Bombyx mori: one gene and its partner. The protein of the gene in region 2 purifies or fractionates together with the protein of the main gene of each other region. This does not show direct contact. Links are inferred from orthologs where the notes say so. Each region holds a gene or a part of one and is shown on either strand. Other genes may lie near its edges.

The links. Proteins that work in one complex are often made in the same cells at the same time.
Region 1: the proteins of syntaxin-1A (region 2) and synaptosomal-associated protein 25 purify together in Drosophila melanogaster (affinity purification with western blotting; 4 studies listed by BioGRID, with this or other methods). This does not show direct contact. The link is inferred for Bombyx mori from reciprocal best matches to the Drosophila melanogaster genes Syx1A and Snap25.

Annotation. Positions count from the first base shown.
Region 1 is NC_085131.1:7,036,459-7,040,680, reverse strand, and holds the end of synaptosomal-associated protein 25, read left to right. Parts: intron 1-790; coding exon 791-1,088; 3' UTR 1,089-3,027; coding exon of another isoform or gene 3,028-3,090; 3' UTR 3,091-3,123; downstream 3,124-4,222. UniProt on the Drosophila melanogaster protein: May play an important role in the synaptic function of specific neuronal systems. Associates with proteins involved in vesicle docking and membrane fusion.
Region 2 is NC_085116.1:5,340,557-5,345,193, forward strand, and holds part of syntaxin-1A, read right to left. Parts: intron 3,257-4,637; coding exon 3,157-3,256; intron 1-3,156.

The DNA.
Region 1 (4,222 bases), on a different chromosome or scaffold from region 2:
GATTTTATGACCTGGTAACTGAGACCTTTAAGTCATGTCTTATTTTAATTTATATTCATATTTTTATGAAAAATGATATTATGGAGTGAAATGAAATGAAGATGATTAATTTGAGACATTAATCAACTGGGATGAAATGAAATGAAATGAGATGATATGGGATGAAATATAATCCCAGTAAAATGGTGGTCATTTACTAAGATTTTTCAGTGGACTTTTTGGAGGATCCCGAGAAGTTACGTCCAGCGGCTTTGTTTCATTTTCCCTCATTTGTGCACTTTCACAGATTTTAAACAGTTAATAAACCACCATTATTACACATTTGAACTCGAAGAAACACTAAATAGACAAAATAAAACAAATCACACAACTTCACTCCTCGCGTTCCCGCCAAAAAGTCATATTTAATCTATTCTCAATTTGACCACAGACTATAAGCAATAAGAAAAGTTTGGCAATAAACAAATAGTATATAACACACACGCATTGTGTGTGTTAAATACATATACAAATGGTAGTGTGTGTAATGTCTTGTTTTATTGATTTCATGAATTTTTAAGCAAATTAAAAAAAAATAACATTCTTCACCCCTTCTGTATATTCTCTATAAGAGTGGGAAGTTTCATACTCATACCGTCCGCGCAATTTTCTTAAAAAGGGATACAAAATTTTTGCTTCTCGCATTAATATATCGATTAATCTAAATTTAATCTAAAAATCAATTAATGTTGATCCGTTTTTTTTACGATAGATATTTTTTCTGTCGTTTAATATATAAGTCGTGTGATAGGATAACGAACGACGCTCGTGAAGACGAAATGGAGGAGAACATGGGTCAAGTGAACACCATGATCGGGAATCTGCGCAACATGGCCTTGGACATGGGTTCCGAGCTCGAGAACCAGAACCGACAGATCGACCGCATCAATCGCAAGGTAAGATCGAATGGTTCGTCACAACCCTACTACGTGACAGACCTGTATAGTTCGAACAAAGTAAATTCGTTGAATGTTTACGTAAAATTAGTGTTGCCAGATAGAAAATTTTTTTTACTATATTCTCATTTACTTCTATTTAAATTTAAATAAGCTGTTATTTAATTCCTGAAAAGAAATAAAATTAAAAAAGAGTAGTTAAGCACTCCTTTGCACGTATGTACAGACGTATTTTAAAATGTTTTTTTGTCTATATTATCATAAAGAATAAATGAAAATAACATTTAAATAGATTCTAAAGTTCTCTTAAACTTAACTTTTTCATGTTTTTAATATTAAGATACAACAAAAATAGTCTGGTTTTTTTTATTAAACTAATTATCTACAGTAATTATTATATTTAATATTTACATCAGAGAAATAAATAAAATGGCAACACTACCAACGAATTTACTGATCAAATCGAAATATATTTCAAATCTTCGTCTTGTACATTATCTGGTGTGGTTTTCAAATTTTAATCTGCTAATGAGAAGAAACGAATTGATTTTCCTCGATGAATTCTGTCGCTTCTCATAGCACTCATTGATCACCATTTCAATGTGTATGCATTTGCCTGTCACTATAGTAACGAAGTTGCTTAGATAGAGTTTGTCCATTATACGAAAAATGTAGCGCTTAGTGGCCCTCGAAATTGTTTGATCACCCGCTTACTGGCAGGTATTGGGTAGAAAAAAAAATAGAGTCGAAATCCGATTGGTTAATAACTGAAAACATGACGTAGCTAGGATTTATTTTTAAAAGTCGTTATAACCTATAAAGATTTAGGTCGTAATTCTGGTTAAATTCTACTTAGTGTTGCTATTGTAAAAGTCTCGAACAAGAAATGCATGTCATTGGTCATCTGGAGATAAAAGAATTGTTCTTGTTGTTGTTATTTAGAGATTAACTTACTTTGGTCGAATAAGAGTTTGAGGCAGTTAAAATATAATATCTCCTCAACGGCCCTGTCAATTTATGATAAGATAAAATAACATGTTTCCTCGGTAGCCAAGTAAGCCTATGAAGCGGATAAAATCTCTTGTTACCTCCGGCGCTTAGATTAATCTGTGATACGAATAGAATAACCAAATTCCCCCGTCGCCAAGTGAGACACCCAAAAAGAGTTATTATTTCCTCATTAGCCAATTACGAGGAGATATAAAATATACATTTCCACGACAGCTAAGTCAACCAAGTATATTATTATGCAAAAAAAAGAAGTAAATATGAAGTTTTAAACAATTTTACTTGGTGACTGAATCGATGGTGCTCCTGATTGCTGGGTCGAAGAACGTGGGTTCGATTTCCACATTGGCCATACATTCATTGTAACACTGAGACCTTAGAACCCATGTCTCAGGGTGGGTGGCGGCATTTACGCTGTAGATGTCTATGGGCTCCGATAACCACTTAACACCAGGTGGGCTGTGAGCTCGTCCAACAGTACGCAAAAATAATAATTAAAAGGTCTTTTTGCTATTTATATCAGTCTCTTGTTTGAGGCTGGATGACCGCCTGTCACTTGTTCCCGGTTATTATCATTATTATTAACTATGTATGAAGTTTTAAATCTGTTTATAAACCTTAAATAGTCGACCTATAAAAAATTAGTGTTCAAATGTGATATAGTTGCATACTCTTATCGCCTATTCTTCTATCTTAAGCATGCTCTATTAGATTTAGAAATAAGAATGATACGATTTTTTTTTTTTTCGTAATTTAGTAATGTACTCTCGTCTCACGATGTCATGACTCCCAATGAATACATTACATAACCACATACCGGAATTAGTTCCGACATCATTCGAATAACATGTCCGACTCCCGCAGAATTAGAGGTCATCAGTAACACGCATTCATACTAACTAACATGTTATATACTCTGTCTGTCAAGAAACAGCGACTGACATGCCAATGGAAATGGCAAGCGCGGATAAGTCGTTATAGCCGGTCCGACGCCGCTTTTATTATTATAAACATGAGCAGTCGCTGTGTATTGAGCTTGTACTATATATATATATAAAAAAAATACGGGTCTTGTGTATCATAGGGAGAGTCAAATGAAACGAGGATAACTCTGGCGAACCAGCGCGCTCACGAGCTCCTCAAGTAAACGACGGCGGCACTCAAACACACAACAGACAAACACACAGTCTCGTGGATTGTTTATAAATACGCGTAAATCAAACAACAAAAAAATAATAATCCTAAAAGCGCCTAATCTATAGTCCGTATTTGAATTTGTTCACGAATAATAATAGAGAATTTTCAAATGGTACGTATAAAATATGATGGTACAGTTTTGGCATTATTAGTTTCTAGTAAACATTGGTTTGAATTAAGATGCTATATTTGATTGCATCTTGATAACCAAATAAATGACAAGTATATTTTTAGTGGTTTGTAAAAAGCATATAGATGTTCAAAAAGCCTCGTCCTTGCGCTATTGTATGTGAGTCGACTATTATCAAAGGCGGCAATCTGACTTTTGGACAATGATTGGTAAATCAGAAAAACGAATTATTGACTTTGTATTCCATTGGCAGTCACAAAACTCTTCGGAACGACATCTTAGATAAATAACAGGTTAACTATTAACCTTTATTTAATGCAGGTTTTGAACCGTATTCTTTGAAGGAGACGATTATATTCAAATAAATCTGTATTGACATATCAATAAAAAAATTTTGTCCAAATGTACAGATTGCCGCCTTTGATAATAGACGACTCATGTAAAGTATTATTAGATGAACTAGCTGTTCTATCTGTGCTAAACAAATTCTTACTTACGAACGTATGCTTGTTTAACTGCTTTATAGAATTTTTCAGCAAGAAAACAAATCAGTTAGCTTCCTTACGATTACGTATTGAAGAAAAGATGACGTCTGTGCTTCCTTTTAGTAATTATATCTTAATAACCATAATTAAATGTTCGAATGTAAAAGCGCTTTTAGACAATTCATATGGCATATTGACGTAAAACGAATGAGAAAATAAATTCATACGATATTCTATAAAGCAGTCAATAGAAGAATATACTTTGAAAACGAAATTTTAACATTATATTATAGAAAAAAGCACATATGTAACTCAGTGAATAATTTTATTCCTTCGATTATTAATCTAAATAAAATATCTCGTAATACATTTTTTCTGTATTTACCTTACCTTAAAAATTGTAGCCTAATTCTATAAAGTTATATAAACTTAAAATTCATAAAAACTTTTGTCACCTTCTATCTATT
Region 2 (4,637 bases):
TATTGCAACGTTGAAAAATAAAATTGAAGACATATTGAGGTTTTGTACGTAGAACTTTTAGGATTTCCCGTGAAATTAACACAATGTTCTGTATATATAGTTGTACTGAAAACACTTTCCCAGCGGTGTTGTTTCAAACTTGGGTCCCCGAAGTCCTATTTCAGCTGTAGTGCTCATATTATGAACAGAGTTAACATAACCTGGTTCGCCGACTATTTATATGTTTAAATTTCGTCTTCCATTCAACGTTACCCATTTTCATTCAATTGTGAACAAGCACACACCTGTGCGCTGAATAAAATTTGTATCTACAAGAAGTTTTGTAAAATTCAATTAAAAACCACCAAAGTTTCGTGAAAATGAGTTGGTAATATCTAGAACACAGCTATTTTCCTGCGACACTTCACAAGCATTCTTGCAAGCTCACGTACACATTTTCAATCGAGCGAGCTTTCACAAAAGAGGTCTTTACAGCCAACACAAACTTCGTGAATAAAATCAGTTTTATTTTAAGGAAATATTCTCTGAAAATGTCGCCCTTTCGGTCGCTTGCCGTCGAGCGGAAAATGATCTTTTTAAAAACGTAAAAGAGTGACAAAGTTTTTTCAATTTCTTGATGTATGTTAAAGTTGTTATCCTAACTGTAATATAACTTGTCTGAAAAATTCCATTCTTCAGTATTTTATTGAGAAAGTGTAGATTATGGTATCGCTGGGCATTTCTTAAAATTCTATTCTATTTAAACGACGACTTTTTTTTAATTAAAAGCATGCCTAGACTGTCGTTTCCGCACTCGCATTTTATTAATAATTAAAAAATAACCAAACAGGTTATTTTATTTCCTTCCAAGAACATTAAATTTTGTAAAGTACATTAATCCAAATTTAAAAAAAATCCTTCATACAAATTTTAAAGTTACTGTTTTATTTTCTTTTGTTCGTATTTTGAATCGACAAGAAAGAACATGCTAGAATACAGGCATAAGATATTAAGTAGATTTTCTGATTACTGATGTTAGGGCGTCTCGTGAACTCGCACTGATAGATACAACCAGTCTGTCTGTTTTTGGCGCGAAACAGTAATTAATATATTAAGATTTGAAGGGTCGGACAGTCCTTATACTATTAAATTGAGAATTGACCCCATGGCAAAGTGGGTGTCGGCAATAATTTTACGATTTTTATGGCCATGAGCTCTTTCACCCACCCACTTCTGAAATAAAGTGACAATTATCAAACAAAAAGTTCTTATGTTCTTCTAAACGAACACGTACATCCAACGTATTAGGATGTAGATATAAAGTTTTTTTTTAATGCTTAGATGCGTGGACGAGCTCACAGCCCACCTGGTGTTAAGTGGTTACTGGAGCCCTTAGACATATATAACGTATATGCGCCACCCACCTTGAGATATAAGTTCTAAGGTCTCAGTATAGTCACAACGACTGCCCCGCTCTTCAAACCGAAACGCATTACTGCTTCACGGCAGAAATAGGCAGGGTGGTGGTACCTACCCGCGCGGACTCACATAGGTTCTGCCACCAGTAACCGTAAAGTTGAAACAAATATATTCCAAATTCCTGTAAAGCAACCACGGATTCAAAAAACCTTTCGTAGGAATCGTGTTTGATAACGTAAAGCTTTATCACGAATCTCTTCGATATTAATGACTGAACCGATGGGTTATCCGAAGCTATTTAGGCTGGGTCAATGGCCAATCTCGACCATTCGTGGCGATCTTGCCGAGTTCATTGCCGTCGACTCTCGACCATTAAGCCATCTCTATCCTTCCAATTAATTAATTATGCATATTATGTATATTTAATTACATACTTTCGTTGCGTGTGGGATGAATTTTATCTAATCTAGTTGCTAAAAGAAATGTTTGTCACGAGGGGCTTTTGACTGCCTATGACATTCCAGCTTCCAAATAGACCGTTCTCAATTCACTTTTCATTTATTTGAAGGTTGATGTAATCGAAATATTTTTAAGTATGTCCCATAAAAATGTAAACAATATTTTCATTTTCATTTCTGAATGGCGCAAACTCAGAATAATACAATGGATTGTATTAGTTATCACTATCGACTGTTTAAACGTTGATAAGATTGAAACAATGACTAAATTACCGAGTAGATTAAATTTTAATTTAAGTACTGAAAGCTTATACGTAAAGTAATATAAGCATAAAAGTAATATATTTCTTAAAACTAATAAAAACTGTTAGCTAGGGCGATTTAATTGTAATGATCTCTATTTAAAATCTGCTAGAAACAAGATCAACTTCATTAAATAGCACAAAAAGTCTGTTGTCATCGCGACAAACTAAAAACTAATAATCCAGTACATTTATTTTTGTTTTGTTTGTACTAAATAATTGTCGATATTATTATTATTTTATTGAAAACTTCAATATATTATAGTACAACATAAACTTAGGTCGATACGGCAAATATCGAGAACTTTATAACGTTCAGAACGATAATTAAATTTCATTTTAACTTTCACAAAATCCCTTTAAAGTTTAAAAATCCACTTATAAAATAAATCGGCGAAAATATTTTCTACAAAATTAGATTGAAATATTATTATCTCACAAAGAACCTCGTGTACGTCAGACGAAGAAAGTTTCAGCGCGTTAAAGTCAAGTAAATGCCGTCAACTTCGCCCTTCCGCCCACCGGTGTCTACTGTGTGGGTTATTTTGCGAGCTTTGCTACCCACGTTAACATAAACACCCGTGCTAATAAATTAACGGCACTCTACGTTATTTTTAGCACGAATTCAATATTGTAATTGATCACGTTTTATCATCCAAATATAGAAGAGAGCAATCGATTTTTGATCCGCCTCGATTCCCGCACGTACCAGCCGAGTGCCATTCTACATAAATTACTGATTTTGCATTGTGTAGCGGGTTTAGAAAGAGTTAGACTATGATATATACAAAATTTTAACAAAAACCAACCACGACATATATTTACATATGGTACGGTAAATAAAATAATTGTGTTATTTTAATTTGAACCTTAATTCCATCAAGCTAAATTAATTCCCTTGTGTGGGTATTTTTGGAGAAAACATTCAATTATGAGGGTTCAAATTGCCTTGTCGTGTCTTTATTATTCAGAATTCAGTCTATTTTTCGTTTACTTACTTTCATCTGACTGTGGCGCTGATAAGATGGCACTGTGCTTTTTCTTCACTTCTTCGACGTTCGCCTGAATCTTGTCTATCATCTCTCGTATTTCTTCAACCTATAAAAGATAAAAAAAAGAATGAAACCGTTCACGCATTACAAATTCACGTGAGAAACTAATGAATGAATCTTCTAATAAAAGTTCTGACCCGATCTCGACGAGTACACCTAACGCTAACCCGCAGACTATATCTAGCTCATTAATAATTCTGCCGCTCCCAGAACATTGGATATCTTTTGTTCTCAATGTTAATTACTCATGAATGGATTTATTTCGTTGCAGTGTGCCGGTTGTTTCTAAATCGGTGTTGGTTTAAAGAGGTTGAGTTTGTGTTGCACGAAGGCAGTTCTGGCTTCCGGCCAAGATCTCTCATCCTGACCTAGCCTACTAATCGCATTTAAAAAAAAAACTACGTACGTGAATATAATTTTAGGGCTAAATAATGATATGGGCGGCATTTACCACCAGTTTATTGATGATAGCACGGGGGATGCGCGATATCTCGGCCATCAGTCTCTTTCGAAGCGTGGTGCCAAGATAGGCGATCAAACTTATTATGTCTGAAGTGGAAAACTCTCTGGGGCGGGTCTCCAAGTGGGTTGAACTGAATTCTGTTCAGTTCAACCCATTGAAGACACAGGTTTGCGCGTTCACGGCGAAGAAGGACCCTTTTGTCATTCCCGTTCCCGCGAATCGCTTGCAACCTCTGGATCTACGAAGGGACTTCGGTTCTTTCTGTGTTTTGTACCGTATGTCCCATGGAAAATGATCTGAAGAGTTATTCGGGATGATCTCCTCATCTCCTTTTTATCATCACACCTCCCGCTATTGGAGCAGAGTTCATCCATATTATCTGGAACCGCTGCAATGAACGTCAGTGCGTTTCCAAAGATCTTTTCTGCCACGTCCCATTCGACTTTGGAATGAACTTCCCTCTACAGTGTTTCCCGAGCGCTAAGACATGTCCTTCTTCAAACGAGGCTTGCGGAGAGTACTTAATGGTAGGCAGCGGCTTGGCTCTACCCCTAAGCATTGCTGACGTTCATGAGCGACGGTAACCACCTACCATCCGTGGGCCGTATGCTCGTGGCCTACAAAGTCAAAAAAATACTCAAAATTCAAAAAAATTTAAAATTCAAAATCATTTATTTCAACTTAGATGTCAGTATAACACACTTGTTGAATGTCAAAATATAAATAACAATGTTAACTCTACCACTTTTTGGTAATCAATTTTATAAAGCAATTCACGTACTTATTCTATTGCAAAAGTAATGCCAGTGAGATAGTCAAACTTATAAATTACATTTTCAAACTTTCGGGGAGAAGGATTGATAGATGATTAATGTCATATCACTAGGAAAACGCGGAGAAGGGAAGTTCACTTGCGTGTTTGAAGAAACGGGGGAAAAATGACCGCTGTCAACGTCCAAGTAAT